2 linked regions of the Astyanax mexicanus genome follow. The protein of the gene in region 2 interacts with the protein of the main gene of each other region in a biochemical or structural test. Links are inferred from orthologs where the notes say so. Each region holds a gene or a part of one and is shown on either strand. Other genes may lie near its edges.

What was found.
Region 1: the proteins of src substrate cortactin (region 2) and actr3 form a complex in vitro, tested with the Homo sapiens proteins (3 studies listed by BioGRID). The link is inferred for Astyanax mexicanus from reciprocal best matches to the Homo sapiens genes CTTN and ACTR3.

Annotation. Positions count from the first base shown.
Region 1 is NC_064418.1:35,512,390-35,521,582, forward strand, and holds the start of actr3 (actin-related protein 3), read right to left. Parts: upstream 4,135-9,193; 5' UTR 3,981-4,134; coding exon 3,937-3,980; intron 1-3,936. Other genes in the region: solute carrier family 35 member F5, read left to right, coding at 6,703-6,716, 6,875-6,980, 7,582-7,731. UniProt on the Homo sapiens protein: ATP-binding component of the Arp2/3 complex, a multiprotein complex that mediates actin polymerization upon stimulation by nucleation-promoting factor (NPF).
Region 2 is NC_064416.1:8,139,150-8,148,755, reverse strand, and holds the start of src substrate cortactin, read right to left. Parts: upstream 4,285-9,606; 5' UTR 4,130-4,284; intron 7-4,129; coding exon 1-6.

The sequences.
Region 1 (9,193 bases), on a different chromosome or scaffold from region 2:
CATATTTCATTCAGTACCTCAAATCTGAGAACACCACTTATATTTCCAGCATTAAAGTGAGTCTTTGTGGACAGGCATGCTTTAGCTCTGATTTCAGACTGGCCTGAATCCAAAACAAGCAACCACACCTGATAAGCTACAACACACCTTACAGGAACAAGGCCTTGCTGGTTTCCTGGTCAATCTTAAGTCCAGGCAAATGATGTGAGGTATATATTTCCCCTGTCATTATAAAGCATTTGCATCTAAAAGACCAAACTACAGAGCACCCAGTGAACAGAGCAGGTCAGTTTTCAAAAGATTGAGCAGTCAAGATAACATTTTCTTAGGTTAAAATAAACTAGCTTTGGACTGGAATGGATGGAAAGCTGCACTAAAATGTTTGTTTAAGTGTAATAAAATATTCATGCTTTAGATCAGAACTGGACCAAAAATCTTAGCTCTACATAAGTCTATTTATCTAAGGAAGTGACCACCACACTTCGACTACAGCACATCTGTAAAATTGTGCACTGTCAGGAAACTAAAAATACTAAAAGCAAACATTACTCCAGCCCTGACTCTTCAGAACAAGAGTTGAAGAGGGAAGCAGAAGCAGAAGCAGAAGCAGCCTCAACATGACGAGGATTTGATGCTGGTCAAATTTCTCCATTGCGTTATGAGTTATAAAAAGCAGTGGTGCAGACCATGCAGAGAAGTTCAGGTCAGAGAGAGGATGTGAGGCTTTCACACATCTCAGACTGGGTTACACACAAACACACACACACACACACATAAACACACACACACACACACACACACACACACACACACACACACACACACACACACACACACACACAAACACAAACACACACACACACACACACACACACAAAAAAAACACACACACACATCTGTGCTACAGAAACAGCCTACTCTTCCCCATCCATTCTCTGAACAGATGCTTGTAATGGCTCAAAGCGAAGGGGGTGGAGGGAAAGGTATGCAGTGAGGAATGTTCAAGTCTCAACATGTTGACACTTCAGAGGGAACAGCCTTCACCACATACCAAGTTCAGTATAAAAGTATATATGCATCAACAACTTTACAGAGAACAGATAAAATCTATATTGTGCAAAAAGGGAGATGAGGTGAAGGAAAAGGGGAAAGAAAGAGGCCCTTTAGCAACAGCTGAAGTCAAGCAGAGCCAAGTACTGTCACTAAATATATAAGGATGCGTTTTAATATTGCTGCTGTTGCGCCAAAAGCTCATATTTGTTTCTGTATTTGGCATAGTTTAAAAGTGGTAGCTTCAAATGAACAATACTGACAATAATATTGACAGAGCAATAAAATGGTCCAAAATTACTTGGAATAAAACAATTTAATTTTACTTTAATTAAAAATGAAAAAAAAAAATTCTCCTGTGAAGTTGCTATTTTGGAAATACAAGGATTTGCAAGACAGCAATCATATACTGTTTAACAAATACAAACTCTGCGAACGATCCTTGTTAGTGCTGAGAATAATAAGACTGGACAGGATAATACGGTTTTATAAGCTCAGTATAAGGCTGAGCAGGACAATAAGGCTGTATAATCTCTATGCATACGCTTATGCTGAGTATATGGCTTAATAGAATAATATGGCTATACACCATGTACTACTGCTGAGTACTGAGTACTGAGTAAATGATGATGGCTTAATAGAATAATATGGCTATACACCATGTACTACTGCTGAGTACTGAGTACTGAGTAAATGATGTATAAATGTAGAGTATAATGCAGTTATAGCATAATATGGAGAGAAAAGCTATAAGTCTACATATAATAGGGTTGTGTCTGCTGTTAATGTTGAGTTTAATAAACATGAAAGTATAATCACAGGTGGTACAAAATCTTTATTAGTGTGGGGCATAGTATGTCTGGGGAAAATAAGACTGAGGTATAAAACTATTGCTAAACAATGCTGTTTATTTAGTGCTGAGAAAAACAGCAGTTATAGTAGTATAAAGGATGACTATGCAGTTAAGAGTTTGGTTTAATTAATATTAAGGGTACAACAGGTATAGAGTGTATAAGCGGTATTAAAATAAAATTAAGTGATAAAAGAGTGTTAATGCTGGTTATAAGGTGTAATAATATAATAAGGTCGTGTAACGGTTAGACCTTAATAACACTGTTCTCATTTCCCATGAAATATTGACTAGAGACAGAGCATATCTGTACAGTATCATTAATTTTACTTCAATCCTGGGTATATGGAGTGCATTATTAGTATCTTGACATGTTAGATGATTGACTTACTTATTGTTACAATCTGTTGAAAATCTCAACTAGGGATAGGCCTTCCATGATAATTTTTGTGGATGATATATTGTCACAAAATTATTTTAATAAACTATATTATTGCCATTTTAAGACCAGTTACATAATGAAAAAAAAATCAATTATACCCTTTAAATACAACATTTTAATTAAACACAGTTTGGTAAATATATACTTTTTTCCAGCTACTGCAGTTATGACACATTTGCAAACAGTAATTTTTGTTACCGCAAAAATATCCTAAGATACTGTGATATTACACTGCCTGGCTGAAAAAAAGCTCACACACTAATATTTCATTGAGGTTAAGGTCTGGACTCTGTGGTGAACAATGCATGTGTAAAAATGCTGATCTTATACTCCCGGAACCACTCTTTTACAATTCCAGCTCAATCCTGACATTGTCATCTTGGAATATGCTCGTGCAATCAGGAAAGAAAAAATCCATTGATGGAATAACCTGCTCTATATTCAATATATTTAGGTAGTCAGCTGACCTCATTCATTTGCTTAGTTAAATCCAGGTGCAGACTTTTTTTTGGCCAGACAGTGTACAATTGCATGACAAAGCAATTATATCCTTTTAAAAAGACATTTTAATTAAACATAGTTTTGGACATATAAATGTTTTTCTTCACTCTCTACAGTCATGCTAAACTTGCAAACAGTCACTCTTGTTATCACAGCAATATCCTGAGATATTGTGATATTATTTTAGTGCTGAGTATGTCAGAGCAGTATAAGGTGGAGGTATAAAATGTGGTTGTGTTATTGTCAGGTAGCTATATTGCAGCTAAATACTATAACAATGCTATATATGCTGGGTATAACAAGGCTGGGGTTGGTGCTGCTGTATATTTGATAGAATTAGCCGTTAGCTGGGTTTGTTATCTAGGTTAGCTTCAGTGCTGAGGAGAAGCAGCATCCAAAACCAAGCGCAAAGTTCAGTTTCAGAAACACCACTACAAACTACAAACACAAAACCGACCCTTTTACCATTGGTTAAACACGGTCTGTTGCCGCAGGACAGAATAAAACACAGCTAACCTAACTAAAATCCCGTCCAAACGTCAAACACGACCATATATGGAGCAAAAAGCGAGAAGCAGGAAGCGGCTCTGACTGTCAGTAAAATTAGGAAGTTGGACTGCGCATGCGCGGCGCCACTCAGAATGAGTTTTGCAGAATTTATCAGGCAATGTGGGTTTTTAGGAGAATCCTGACCTGATAAAACCTGGAAACCCGCACACTGCGCTTACTGTCGCAGTCTGTAAACATGTGTGCATGTTCAACATGAGCTGGAATGAAGCGTTTTGATGATATGTAGCTACACATCTCGCCAGTGAAAGCCCATTCCAGGCTTCATAACGTTAGCTAACCTAGCATTGCACACAGCCACCACCCAAACCCAGGCTCCTCATCCACCCCAGCAGCAGAGCTGTTCTGACACCCCGTCCACTGTGGACAAAAGCAGAGCTGCGTGTCTACAGGAAAAGCGACCACAGGCTCGTATATTAGCGGGTTTCTACTGGAAGATAATAGATCTAACAGAGCACATCCACATCCACACACCCAGAGCTGCTGCTGCTGCTACTGCCACTGTGGAATCGGCTGGAAAACTCACCCTGTGCCGCAATCCACAACGCACGCCGGCAGCCTCCCAGCCATTTCTCCGCTCTGCGCTGTTTTAGAAGCCGGTATTAAAGCTTTCTGCCTCCAGAAGAGCAGCACAGTGTGGTCAGCGGCCAATCTAAAGGCGGAACCCTTAAGTTTTCAGCCACTTCCGCACTCGGTCGGCACTCAGCGGAGAGAAAATGGCCGTCGCCGGTGAGGAGGGGGGACGGAGGGCGCATGCGCATTGACGCCTACAGGCAGACAGAGGGGCGAGTGTCAGCTCAAACCATAGATTGTCTGTCTACGTCTATGGCTCAAACCTTAAAAATGTGTTTTTAGTATAAATTCTCCTTTTATTCCAAGATAAAACCATAACAGACACAATTCAAACATTGTACAGACAGAAATAAGGTGCCAACAGTCAAATAACAGATCTGAGTTCACGTTTAACACTCGTTAAAGTAACTAAAATCTTTTTGCAAATCAGTTTTAAGGAGAAAGATTACAATCTTTTTGAAAAGTAATTCGAATCAATTTTCAGAAAAAATGTAATTCTTTAAAAAGTTGTCTAAATCCAGTTTTCTGAAAGATTCGATAAAAAAGCAGTTTGAATCTATGATCCGTTTAAAAGATTCGAATCTTTTTGAAAAGGAGTTCCAATTAGTTTTCAGGAAGTTCGAATAATAATAATGTTTGATGCAGCTTACATGAAAAATCTCTTTGTAAAAATGGTTCTAAAATGCGTTATTATATATAAAGTAGAATACAAAATCTCATAAAACTCACACCACACATATTTATAGTTTCTTCACACATATTCATTGGCTTACTTAATAATTTACCTCAGGCAATTTTTTTATTGTATTGTATTGTATTTTTGGCATATCCTATAAGTCCACCTAATTTCGTAGGAATGCAGAATCATTACTGTTAGATCATTGTTAGATGAACTGCAGTAAATAAAGTAAATTGTTCCTTATAAGAGTGGAGATATAAGGTTATATTTATCAGATGGTGAATCGACCGAAAAGTGTCACGCCAAACTTGCAAATAGTTGCTCCGCCTGTTTTGCATTCTGGGAGATGAAGTTTTAGTACGTAAGCTACAGGACAGAGTACCAGAACTAGGAACTACATTTACCATGATGCTGATGCGCTAAGTGAAGTCATGAGTAGGAGACCGAGCTCATAAAACTCATGTAAATATTTACCACCCAGTCGAGTTATTATCCTTTACAAAGCCGCAGATTGTTCGTAACCTCGCCTGATAAACGCATGAAGACGGGTTTCGAGGCCGTGCCGACTGAAGCAGGTACTGTAGCTAAATGTCTACATATAACCTACATGTAGTGTTTAATAGCTAACACTAACATTAGCTAGATTAACCGAGGAGCCGAATTACCAAGAGCTCCAGTCTGCTTTCTGCTCTCTGTACCTCTCTGACTGACTGACCGCTGCGCTGCTTATCAAAACACAGCTGATTTTTTCCTAAACAGAGCTGAGTGTAATGATATTTAGGTAAAATTATAAATTAAAATGTATCATAGTCTCAATGTCACAAGCCTCTGTTCACTACTCTGTCAAGAAGTCTAAAATAAAGACCAACAGGTTAAAGAACTCGTTCTTCCCCAACTGCCACCAGAGCTCAGAAATAACCCTGCACTTTACTGTCTACATTCACAGTCATTTTACTGTAGCACAGCTTTATAATTGCATTACTGTTCATTTAGCATTTTTATCATATCTCCTTACTGTAGATAAGTAATGTTCTTGTTTGTGAATAATATCTATATTATATAGTGCTGTGATTTTGTTGTATTCTTGTTGTAAATGTAACAGCATTTTAGTGAGTATTTTTATATTTGGTAAGTTTATTATTTGCTTTATTGTATTTTTTCTTTTAATTAGTGTGGGGCGGTATGACCAAAATGTCTATCACTGTATTTTTTAAGGTTCTGTCGCTTTCATGGTATATCACAGTATTATTATTATTTTATTTATTTATTGTTTTGGCATGACTGGGCTTTTATATTGGTTTGTGACTTGATGTACTGTTAGGAGTATATCTAATATCAAACATTAAGTCTTTGATTACTATTGGTTTTACTTTGTCCCATAAAATCACCTTTCTTTTACAAAACACTGTGAATTGACCTAAAATACCTTTTAAGTTTAAGGTATTAAAAAAACATTTCTCTATTGCACAAGTAAAACACAAGTTAAACATCAATTTACAATATGTTATTAATGAAGCCATTAGAGACTTTACAGTATTAAAAAACCACAATTCTCTTCTTTTTTCAGTTAAAAATTAAATTCAGTGTGCATTAATATTATCCTTCAAGCTATATTATAAATATATTTAAAAGGATATTTTTCCTAAGTGAATAATTGCTGTTTTCTGTTGTTTTTATATTTTACTTGGATAAAAAGACCCATAAAGTGCTGTTCTCAAATTTCTCTCCAGGCAGGAGAGTGCTAGACAAGCGTGTATTAGCTTGTTTTGCTTACTCGTTAGCGTTAGCAAACAAACTCTGCCAGTAGGGCTGAACGATTAATCGTTTTTTAATTGAAATCATGATTTAAATGGACACGATTCATTGGTAGCATGGTCATTAATAATAACTGCAAACGACTGTCTGTTTGGTTATTTACATTATAACTTATTTATTTTACTGTTCTAAGGTCTTTGCTCTGGCTTTTAGTGATTGTGTGATGCAGGCTTTGTGCCACATCGTGGAGAGAGAGGCTGGCCGAGACCGGTGTGTCCGTTTCTAATGCGTCCGGCACGGTAAGGACCTTCACTCAACCAATAGGGTTGGATGTGTTGCTGGTTTTGTGCTAAATATTTGCATTGCAGAACACTTACCCACATACACTGTTTGCAATGCATACATATAAGCCAGATGTAAATAACGCATTACCTCCATTGCTTGCGTGTATGTGTAGGATGAGTTGGGGGGTATGTGGTGCCCAGAAGAGGAGGCTGGTGCTGGGCGTGGTCATCCTGCTGCTTGTGGATGTGATCTGGGTTGCGTCATCTGAACTCACTGCAGTAAGATCTACATACAGTACACATTTTTTACACACATTTACACATAATATGCTTGTATAATGTGCTATGCTCTATACTTCTTTTCCCTTTTAGTATTATTATTGTTAAATGGTCCATATTAAAACTAAATGCTTTAAACCTGCTCTTCGTTCCCCAGGCCATACATTTATGAAAGTTGACCTACAGAAGCAGTCCCTTTTAAATTCATAATGGCTGTGATGTTATAACCTTGCCCTTTTCTATTCATCGCCCAATCATCTTTCACCAGCTTAAGACATCTAATGTATTGTAATTTATAAGTGGTGAGAAAAAGATGAAAAGTAAAAAGCTTTCCTTTCTAAAGGATTCAGATATGCAAAGGATTTTAGTCCTTGACATTTGTTCAGACTGTAAGAGCTAAGAGTGTGTTATGTACACTTCAGATAGGGCTGTCTTTTCAAAGTGTGCTTTGTTTAATTTTTAAAAGGGTTGAGGTAGTAAGAACATATTTTATAAGTATGTATCAGAATTAAAGATAAACTCACTGGCTTGAGTTCTGGAAAACAAAATGGATGAAATACATGACTTCCTTACGTGGGTTGTGTTTGTTTGTGTGTTTCAGTACATCTTTGTGCAGAAGCAGTACAGTAAGCCGTTCTTCAGCACCTTTGTGAAGACCTCCATGTTCGTGTTGTATTTACTTGGATTCCTCTTCTGGAAACCATGGAGGCAGCAGTGTGCAGCTCGTTATCAGCAGCAGCTCAGCAGCCTCGTGAGTTCTCCAGATAACTTTGTCTTGCTTTTGATAGTTTGTATTTTTAATATAAGTAATCCTTACATGGTAAAGGTTTGTGACATCCATTGGTAGGCTGGTTAAAAAAATGTGGATATTTTTCCTAATGTCTAAACTGTGGGTCAATTTCCACTGTAAACAGAAGCAGGATAAGCACTGGGCAACACATCTTGGAAATATCTCAGCAAAAATAAATTACTTGCTTATATGTTTTTTTGGACTGTGGGAGGAAACCGTTCGAAAACCCACGCAGACAAGGTGACTGATGGGACTTGAACCCAGGACCCCAGCGCTGGAAGGCAAACGTGCTAACCACCAGTGTTGTTCCAATTCACAGCTTTTCTGAACTAGTTCCAGTTCAGTTCATACATGCTCAAAGTGAACAGTTCACGTTCAAAGTTCACGATTTGAATTCTGAACTAGTTCAAAGTTGAGTTCATTTTACTTTTTTTGTGAGATATTCAAATAAATGCTTTTTTTTTCACACTACAAGCTAGAAATCACTATACGTTCTTTGAAACTGCTCATTGTAGACATTTGCTCATGACACTGCAATTGTGGGTTTCTTACCAGGTGATGAAACAGCAGTACAAAGTGTTTTAAGTGTTCATAAGGAGAATCGGTGTCTGTCTCCATCCCATCACTTCCACTAGCCATTGTTTTTCAAATTGCAGCGCTTTCTCTCACTCTCGTCATTGGTCTGTCACTCTCTCTCTCTCGCTCTCTCTCTCGCGCACTTGCTCCTCCAGCGAGAATACAGGAGGGAGGAACTTTCTCTTGTTGCGTTTCAAAAGAGAAAACAGATGTCACTCAGTTTTCAATGGAAAACAAATTCCAACGTTTATTTACAGGGATGTCTGCCGTTCATGAAACATAAAGTGAACTAATTCACGTTCAAGTTCTTTATTAACAAATGTGTTGCGTTCAGTTCAACGTTCACGAAAAACGCACAAAACTGCTAACCACTAAGCCACTGTGCCTCCCAGAAACAAAGACTTCACTATACTATAAGGTGCACCAGATTATAAGGCGCACTATCAATAAACGTCTATTTTCTGGTCTATTTTCATACACAAGGCGCACCAGATTATAGACAACAATAAAACAAAACTGTAAGTCAGACAAGTCAAACGAGAGCTGGATATTAATCTACACAGATTTCACTCCTGAAAACTGTTTATTTGGGTGAGTAAAATGCTTAGATTTATTTACAGTAAGCTAAAATTTCCAGATTTCCACTAAGGCTGGAGCATTAGCATTAGTGGCTTACAACTAATGCCATCTAACTGCCGCCCGCCAGCGCTACACTGAGGATGCCTGAGTGTTCTGGAAAGCCAGGGTGATATTAGCTAGCGGTTCATCCCACGTAGCTTGTTTTAACATGGTAAACGCGCAGGCCACACGCCGATAATACTCACCTCTGAACGACCAAATGGCTAGC
Region 2 (9,606 bases):
CCACATCTGGAGGAATAGGAATCAGAATGGAATAGAGGATATTAATAGTCAGGAAATGTGCTTTACTAAGTTTAATAACCATTAATCTACATTAATCAACAAATACAAAATTTGAACAAGTTTAGGGATGCACCGCAACTGAACCCAAACAAAACCAAACATTTGGGTATCAGGCAGTGTATTCATAACCACATGGTGTAATAAGTTTCTGTGAGGAAGCTTCAGACATCTCGATTCATTCACCACCACCATTCAGAACTCTAAATAGAGCATTCAACACTAATCCCACTCTGAATAGCTTTATTCACACATTATCTATTAAAGACTGAGAAATTGTGGAACGTGGGTGAAATTCCTCTCTCAGTAAATGAAGATCAGTTAAGATGATGTGGCACTCGGTTCTCCCTCACTTCCTGTGTAAACAGAGGATGGGGCGAGTAGCTGCAGCCTGACTCAGCAAACCAGCAGGCCTGATTCAGCCTCACACACATCTGCAGCTCATCAGCACAGCACTGTCTGCCTTACATCAGCTCTTCAGAAGAACAATCACACAGCCTCAAACTGATACTGAGAAGGCATAAACTCAAACACGATTCTCTGCAGGTATTTTAGCCCATTTTTCATCACTGAATAAATAAAACAGCCAAACACCCCTTTTAAATATCCATACCTATAAAGCAATAAAAGCAACAATACTTTTACATCATTTTTAAGAAGAAAAAAAAAATCAGACTGACCGAACTAAATAACCAGAATAACCCTGCACCTTACACTCTACACGTTTACATGTTATTTTACAGAGGCATATGCTCACTTTACAGTAATTTTATAATAGCACTACTGAAAGTTTTGCACTTTTTTCTTATTCCACTGCTGTAGATAACATATACTTACTTGTAAATAATATCCATAACATATTCTTTTTTCATGTATATATTTCCATCCTGGATGTAAATTTAACACCAATTTAATATTTATATTTAGTTAGTTTATTTCTTTCTTTATTGTATATTTTCTACTTTTATCTTTATGCAGCATACTTGGCGAGGAGCAAAGAAAGAATTTCATTGTACGAGAAAACTTGTTTCTTACTGTGCACATGACAATAAACTCTTTAAATCTTGAATCTGAGCTGAGTCTGAGCGATTCATTCGCTGCAGCCTGTAGGAAGGAACTCCCGAATCATATTGACTAACTTACGAAAAATATTGTCTGACTGCCGACTGCACATTTCGGCTGAAAATTGATTAATGTTTCCATCTCTACGTTTGCCCTCCATAATAATGAATGAATGATCATTTTAATAAACAATGCACATGTTGTAAAGTGGACAGGGTGGAGTCACATGACTACACACGCTACAGTACGTTTTCAAAGGGACATGTACATTACCACACACTAGAGGTGGACAATATGGCCCTAAAATTAGGGATGCACCGATGCAAAAATTGTGGTTAAATGACTGCATATTTCGGCAAAAAAAAAAAATTGAAGGTTCTTATAATTTATATACTTTTTTTTTCATTTCAGTACATTACTAACAATAACACAAACAACTGCATCAGTTAAAGATTCTAAATGTTGGTTTTGATTAATTGCCTAGTCTTTCAATTATTTGACTATGTAAATATTTTAGCTTAGCATGCTACCTAAGCTAACACAGAGCAACAGGTCTGAGATGATCACTCCAGCTAATACTGACCAACTGTTCAGGCTAACAGGTTTAACTGAGACTCACAGGATTAATTTAAGCTAAGACACGATGAAGCTCATGAAGTGGGAGCATTAGGGTTTTGTGTGGCTCATTTCTGACAGTATCTGAGCTCAGAAGAATCTTGTGATAATAGATTAGAATATTCTGAGTGAATGAATAAAGCACTTTATTAAGTCATAATGCATTGAATTAAAATCAGGAAGTACTTACTGCTTTTTAAGGCATTTTAATGTTAAAATAAATAATTATTTTAAAAGAATAGCAAGTCGCTACCAAACATTTTTATACTGAACAAGGTGCAAAAATAACCACTTTGTCAAAATATGAAAGGTTTCTGACAGAAGCACAATCTAGAGATAAATAATTCAATGAACCTCCCAGCACTAGCTCTAATTATGATATAGCATTTTTACTATATTTCCCACCCTTACATGTGAGATTATGCTGCTGTTGTTGATTTAGGTAGTGTTAAACAAGGTCTGCAGTGTTTGGTGTTTTGTGTCATTAGTGGTGTTTGTTACCTCTGCTACTCACTGTATGGGCTGAAAGATGCACTCTAGAGAGCGGTACTATTTGGTTAGTGGAGTTAAAATCTTTATTCTGGAGTTAAAATCTTTATTCTCTTTCAAGGCACAATAATCCTATGCATATGAACTGCAGGAACAACAAAGAAACAAGGTGTCCATAGACAGGGATTAAGCCTTTTGTCTACATTTATTTCCTTTAAATGGGAAAATTTCCATTCTTAAATGCTACGTAGCCCAATATAGCTGTATTATCTAAACATGTTTCATTTATTTACATAATTATTGTCACATAGTCTAATCTCATTCACAAAAGACATACATATACATACAGCTCTGGAAAAAATAAGACCAATTCAAAAAGAAGAGTTCCTTTGATTTTATAAAATTGAAAACCTCCTGGAATTTAATCAAGAGGAAGATGGATGATCACAAGCCATCAAACCAAACTGAACTGCTTGAATTTTTGCACCAGGAGTAAAGGCTTAAAGTTATCAAAAAGCAGTGTTTAAGACTGGTGGAGGAGAACATGCACTGATGCATGAAAACTGTGATTAAAAACCAGGGAATCAATATTCCATCAAATATTACACCAAAAAAAAAAAAGCTCTGCATCTTTTTTGTTATTTCAGCAATTTCTCATTTTCTGCAAATAAATGCTCTAAATGGCAATATTTGGAATTTTGAATCAGAAAAAATCAGAAAAAATCAGAAACTTAGGTGGTCTCTTAATTTCTTTCCAAAGCGGTATATAAAATACACATTACATATTTACTGTATTGCCCACCTTTACACATAGGATTGCTATAGAAACCCTCCAGCATCACTGTAAGGAAGTTCAACATTCACCAAAATAGGAGGAAACAATCCTCCTCTAGGCCACTGTGTACAGATTTAAGTGCTTCAGGAGCAATAAGTGGAGTATCAGTATAAAGCAGGACGTAACACACACCACACCCAGTTCTAGAAGTGTGTGATAGAGAGACTGTGTGTGTGTCTGTGTGTGAGGCCTGTAGTAGTAGCTCCCATTACACAACACTAACTCCTTTGCTCAGTTTCATTAGACAGGGATTAAGCCTAGGTACTGTCTATATTTTTCCTATAAATGGGAAAATCTCCATTCTAAATGCTTTGCAGTCCAATATTAGCTGTCTACATCCAAACATTAATTTTATATATTTATTTGCATCATTTCTGTCACACATTTTAGTAGTAATAGAGGGGGAAACCATCCTCCTCTAGGCCACTCTGTACAGACTTAAGTGCTATAGGAGCAATAAGTGCCAAACACTAGTAGTAGTACTAGTAGTAGTAGTATTATTAACTAGGCTAGTCTCTGTGTGGATACACCCATTTAGCTGCATTTCTATTGCTATTTTTATAAATATAAATGCAAATAAAGGCTTTTGCCATTGTTACTAATACTCTAACAGTGTTAATTATTCATAAATTAAGGTCCTTAATAACGTTATTTAGCTAGAGATTATAAAAAAGAGCTTTAAGTGCCACATCAGCCAGCAGAGAATGAGGCTGAAATTGGCTGCTTCCTTCAGGAATTCTTCCGTTCCACCTTAAAACAGCGCAGACACCATATTGCAACTGCTGCACCATTTAAGGTGGACCGGAAAATTCCAAACACAAGCTTCCAATTAGATTTTAGCTATTTTTAACATCAGCTCAGCCCAACACTGAGATGTTAAAATAATATCTACGTTTAAAAGAAGCTGTATATTTAATATAAACCCTGTAATTAGTGTTTTTAATCGTTAAACAGACTGTAAAGCGGGGTCTGTATCCAGCCCTGTGGCTGATTCAGCTCCGTCCCGCTGATTCCAGAAGCTTCCCCCCCGGGCCCCGAGCTCCCCGGCCGGTATCAGCGGGCTGTACTCACGCTTTGCTCCGGTTCGGCTCGGGAATCCTAGGTTAAAGCGGTTTAACTGCGGGTTTTAGGTGAATATCTCTCCGCGCTGAAATGGTGGGATGATTATTCCTCCTCTCCGCTCCACTCTTCCTGCTCTCCCACTTCCTGCGACTGAAGCTGCAGCGCCCCCTGCGGTGAAGAACCGGTACTGCAGCGCCGGAGCACAGCACTGATTTGAAGAGAAGAGAAGAGAAGAGAAGAGAAGAGAAGAGAAGAGAAGAGAAGAGAAGAGAAGAGAAGAGAAGAGAAGAGGTCAAAAGTTTGGACAAGACCTGAGAAGAGAAGAGAAGACAAGACAAGGCAAAAGAAGACAGGAGAAAGGAAGAGAAGGGAAGACAAGACAAGACAAGATCCGACAAAACAAGAGAAGACAAGACAAGGAAAAAGAAGACAAGAGAAAAGAAGAGAAGGGAAGACAAGACAAGGAAAAAGAAGACAAGAGAAAGGAAGAGAAGGGAAGACAAGACAAGACAAGATCCGACAAAACAAGAGAAGACAAGACAAGGAAAAAGAAGACAAGAGAAAAGAAGAGAAGGGAAGACAAGACAAGACAAGCATACAGTGCCAGTCAAAGTTTGGACCTGGGAAGAGAAGCGAAAGAGAAGACAAGAAATGACAAGCATGCATTGCCAGTCAAAAGTTTGGACAAGACCTGAGAAGACAAGACAACACATAACAAGACAAGACAATAGAAGACTTGCCTTGTCTTCTTTTACTTTGTTATCTCCCTTTATCTTTCTTGTCAAGTCTTTCCCAAACTTTTGATTGTTACTGTATGGTTGTTTTGTCTTCTATTCTCTTATCCAACTTTTGACCGCTACTGTATGATTGTGTTGTATTGTCAGGCCACCATACAGTACCTGTCAAAAGTTTGGATAAGAGAAGAGAAGACAAAACCACCATAGAGTACCAGTCAAAAGTTTGGACACCGCTCTTCTAATTTAATGTGTTTAGTGTCTTTTTATGATTTGTCACATTGTAAATTTAATATTAAAGTCATCATTTAGAAGGCATTTAGTACTCACTTTTGAAATACAGTAGTCACTTCAAGTTTCATATTCATGCTGCATGTGAAACTGTTCCCCTATTACCATCACAAAGGACTGAAGGGCAGTGTAAAGGTGTGTTAGAAATGTGTAAAGGGTGTAAATTGTGCTTTAGCAGGGCAAAGGTGTGTTACAGCAGTGTAAACGGTGTTCTAGTGCTGTAATGAGTCAGACAGGTGTAAAGCTGGTTTTAATGATATAAACATGTGTAAAGCTGAATAAGGTTTTATATGTATTATATTTTCTGTATTAATTCATAGAATGTGGATATGATCAGGGTGGGTAATCAGATATTAAGGACAAAGGTGAAGTTTAAATGGTGGCAATCTCTGGACAGCAGAGCAGAGCCACTATGTTTTCATTTGAATTAAACATTACAGATCAGAACTTACCATCCAACTTAGAAATTAAATGTCCCATCCATCTGGCACCCACTATCTGTCCTCACTCAAACCCTGACAGTTCGCCTTTCTGTGAGCATATTGGTCAGTGTTCGGCTTCACTCACAAAATCACACCTAACAACTTATATACAGCTCTGGAAAAAATTAAGAGATTTTGTTGATTTATTCTATAAACTACGGACAACATTTCTCCCTAATTCCAAAAATAAATATTGCCATTTAGAGCATTTATTTGCAGAAAATGAGAAATGGCTGAAAAATCAAAAAAGATGCAGAGCTTTTAGACCTCAAATAATGCAAAGAAAACAAGTTCATATTCATAAAGTTTTAAGAGTTCAAAAATCAATATTTGGTGGAATAACCCTGGTTTTTAATCACAGTTTTCATGCATCTTGGCATCATGTTCTCCTCCACCAGTCTTACACACTGCTTTTGGATCATTTGTTTTGGCCACTCCTGGTGCAAAAACTTAAGCGGTTTAGCTTGGTTTGATGGCTTGTGATCATTCATCTTCCTCTTGATTATATTCCAGAGTTTTTTTTATTTAGTAAAATCAAAGAAACTCATCAGTTTTAAGTGGTCTTTTATTTTTTTCCAGAGCTGTATCTTTCTAGACTTTTAGATGTAAATCTGATCTAAGAATTACGCTCTTTACAGACCACTTGAATAGTCCGAAAACTGCAGAAATGTGATAATAATCCAATTAATGAGTGTGTGTATGTATGTATGTGCTGACAAAGCCATATACTGAGGTAAAATCCAGCTCTATCACTTTTAGATCTTAATCTGAGACCTAAAGAATACGTGCATGTTTCTTGAATAATCAGAAAACTGCAGAAATCTGATTGTGATCTGATTATTAAGTGTATGTAAAGCTCTAGAAAAGAGAGAAAGGAGCACAAACACAAAAACACACCAGGTTTTTTTAACGCAAAGACTTAGTCTTTTTATTGGCAGTGGAAAATAAGTTTCAGTATTTTTTTATTGAAAGGAAGCAATAAATAATACTGTGATAAAAAATAGCTCATAAGTACTTGGACTGTACAGAACTTCTGTTACAAGATCAGGAGATTTTAAACAGAGAAAAACAATGCAGAGGAATCCAGGACATGATCAGACCTTGTGCATAATCGACTAAAAATCACAGAATATGAAGAGAGAATGAGGAAAAAGGAAAACGGGTGTTCAGGAGGATTCCATCACATTGCCTCCAGGTTAAAACACAGTCCAGCCTTTATTTCTGATATGACTCAGGATAAGAACAAATGTCTAAAATCACAGAAAAGAGGCTGAAATCACACAGAAATGTGGGGAATAAATAAAAACAGAGGGAGGACAGAGGAGAGAGGGAATAAGGCTCGATTAGTAGCAGGGTTTTAGTCAGAGGGGTTCAAAATCGCGCCACTCTCGGACACTGCAGTTTGAGCGTAGGCCACAGTGGGGTTGGTCCAGCGGAGAAAACACATACGTACACACACACCTGAAAATCCGAACACACACTCACACACACACACAGTCACTCGTTCCACACGTCGCTCCACGCGCAGGAGAAAAGGAATGGAAAGGTTCAGCACTCGAGGAACCGCAGAGATAAATCCAGTCTCCGGGTTTTCTTTTTTGCTGAAAAAGATGCATCCGAAAGTAGCCCTCGTCATCGCTACGTTTATGGCTTATCGAAGAGTTCGTGTTTTGGTATCAGAGGAGAGAAGGAAGAAAAAAAAGGGAAAATAAGGATCCATCCATCACTGACGCAACACAGTCTGTTGATAACTCGCTCTAAAATCTGCTTCAAATCTGATATTCAAATAATACAACCGCAGTCATCGTAAAAATCACAGAAACACGTCTCGAGAACCCAAAAGCAGGAAAGAAAGAGTGACGAAATTAAGTTAAAACCACATCAGTGTCACTTAAGCTCAAAATTTACCGTCGAAAAATGAACCAACGTAGATATGAAACAATTCCAAGATGAGGATTATTATAAAAAGATTAGATAACTGCCTGTAGATATAAATGTACAAACTTCAGATTCGTAATAATACATTCAGTTACACCTGATAAGAGTTAAACATGATAAGATGAACACAAAAAAGATAAAAAGAAGAGAGAGAGAGAGAGGGGTAGAAATGAGCAAACAAATGATACATAAACAACAAATAACTAAATAAATGAAATGTCCCATTGGTTTACATAAATAGAATAATCAATAAATCTAAAATATGTCCTCTAGGGGTGTGGATAAATCCTCCTCGGTGAAATATCTCAGAGTCCTTGCTGCTGGCTCAGCTCCTGTCCTGAAGAGGGCGCTTCGCTGTCCACGACATTACCTATAGAGATAATGAGCATAAACTAAGAGAGGGGAGGAGAGAAAGGAAGACAGACAAATGAGTGAAAGGAGGAACAAATGGACAGAGGGAAATAAAGAAAGAAATAAGAATGGTGGAGAGAACAGAAAGAGATGGCACAGGTGGGAGATGAACGAGAGAGACAAGAAAACAAAACAAAAAAAAGAAGCAAGAGAGACGTTTAACATTAGCGCCATGAATGCTAAAGCACATTAATCAGCATTAAATGCTAGCGATTAGCATGTGATTAAACAATGGTTAAGATATTACCTATGAAAGACATACCTGTAGACTAGAATAGAAGATATTAGTCCATAAACTACCTCAATAAACACTCCTATACACTAGAATAGGAGATATTAGTCCATAAACTCAATATCAATAGACACTCCTATACACTAGAATGAGATATTACTCCATAACCTCAACCTCAATAAACACCCCTACACTAGAATAGGAGATATTAGTTCATAAGCAACCTCAATAAACACTCCTATACACTAGAATAGGAGATATTAGTCCATAAACTCAATATCAATAGACACTCCTATACACTAGAATGAGATATTACTCCATAACCTCAACCTCAATAAACACCCCTACACTAGAATAGGAGATATTAGTTCATAAGCAACCTCAATAAACACTCCTATACACTAGAATAGGAGATATTAGTACATAAACAACCTCAATAAACACTCCTATACACTAGAATAGGAGATATTAGTTCATAAGCAACCTCAATAAACACTCCTATACACTAGAATAGGAGATATTAGTACATAAACAACCTCAATAAACACTCCTATACACTAGAATAGGAGATATTAGTACATAAACAACCTCAATAAACACTCCTATACACTAGAATAGGAGATATTAGTCCTTAAACTCAACCTCAATAAACACTCCTATACACTAGAATAGGAGATATTAGTCCATAAACCCAACCTCAATAAACACTCCTATACACTAGAATAGGAGATATTAGTCCTTAAACTCAACCTCAATTAACACTCCTATACACTAGAATAGGAGATATTAGTACATAAACAACCTCAATAAACACTCCTATACACTAGAATAGGAGATATTAGTACATAAACAACCTCAATAAACACTCCTATACACTAGAATAGGAGATATTAGTCCTTAAACTCAACCTCAATAAACACTCCTATACACTAGAATAGGAGATATTAGTACATAAACAACCTCAATAAACACTCCTATACACTAGAATAGGAGATATTAGTACATAAACAACCTCAATAAACACTCCTATACACTAGAATAGGAGATATTAGTCCATAAACTCAACCTCAATAAACACTCCTATACACTAGAATAGGAGATATTAGTCCATAAACTCAACCTCAATAAACACTCCTATACACTAGAATAGGAGATATTAGTCAATAAACAACCTCAATAAACACTCCTATACACTAGAATAGGAGATATTAGTCATTAAACTCAATCTCAATTAACACTCCTATACACTAGAATAGGAGATATTAGTCCATAAACTGAACCTCAATAAACACTCCTATACACTAGAATAGGAGATATTAGTCCATAAACTCAACCTCAATAAACACTCCTATACACTAGAATAGGAGATATTAGTCTAAACACAACCTCAATAAACAC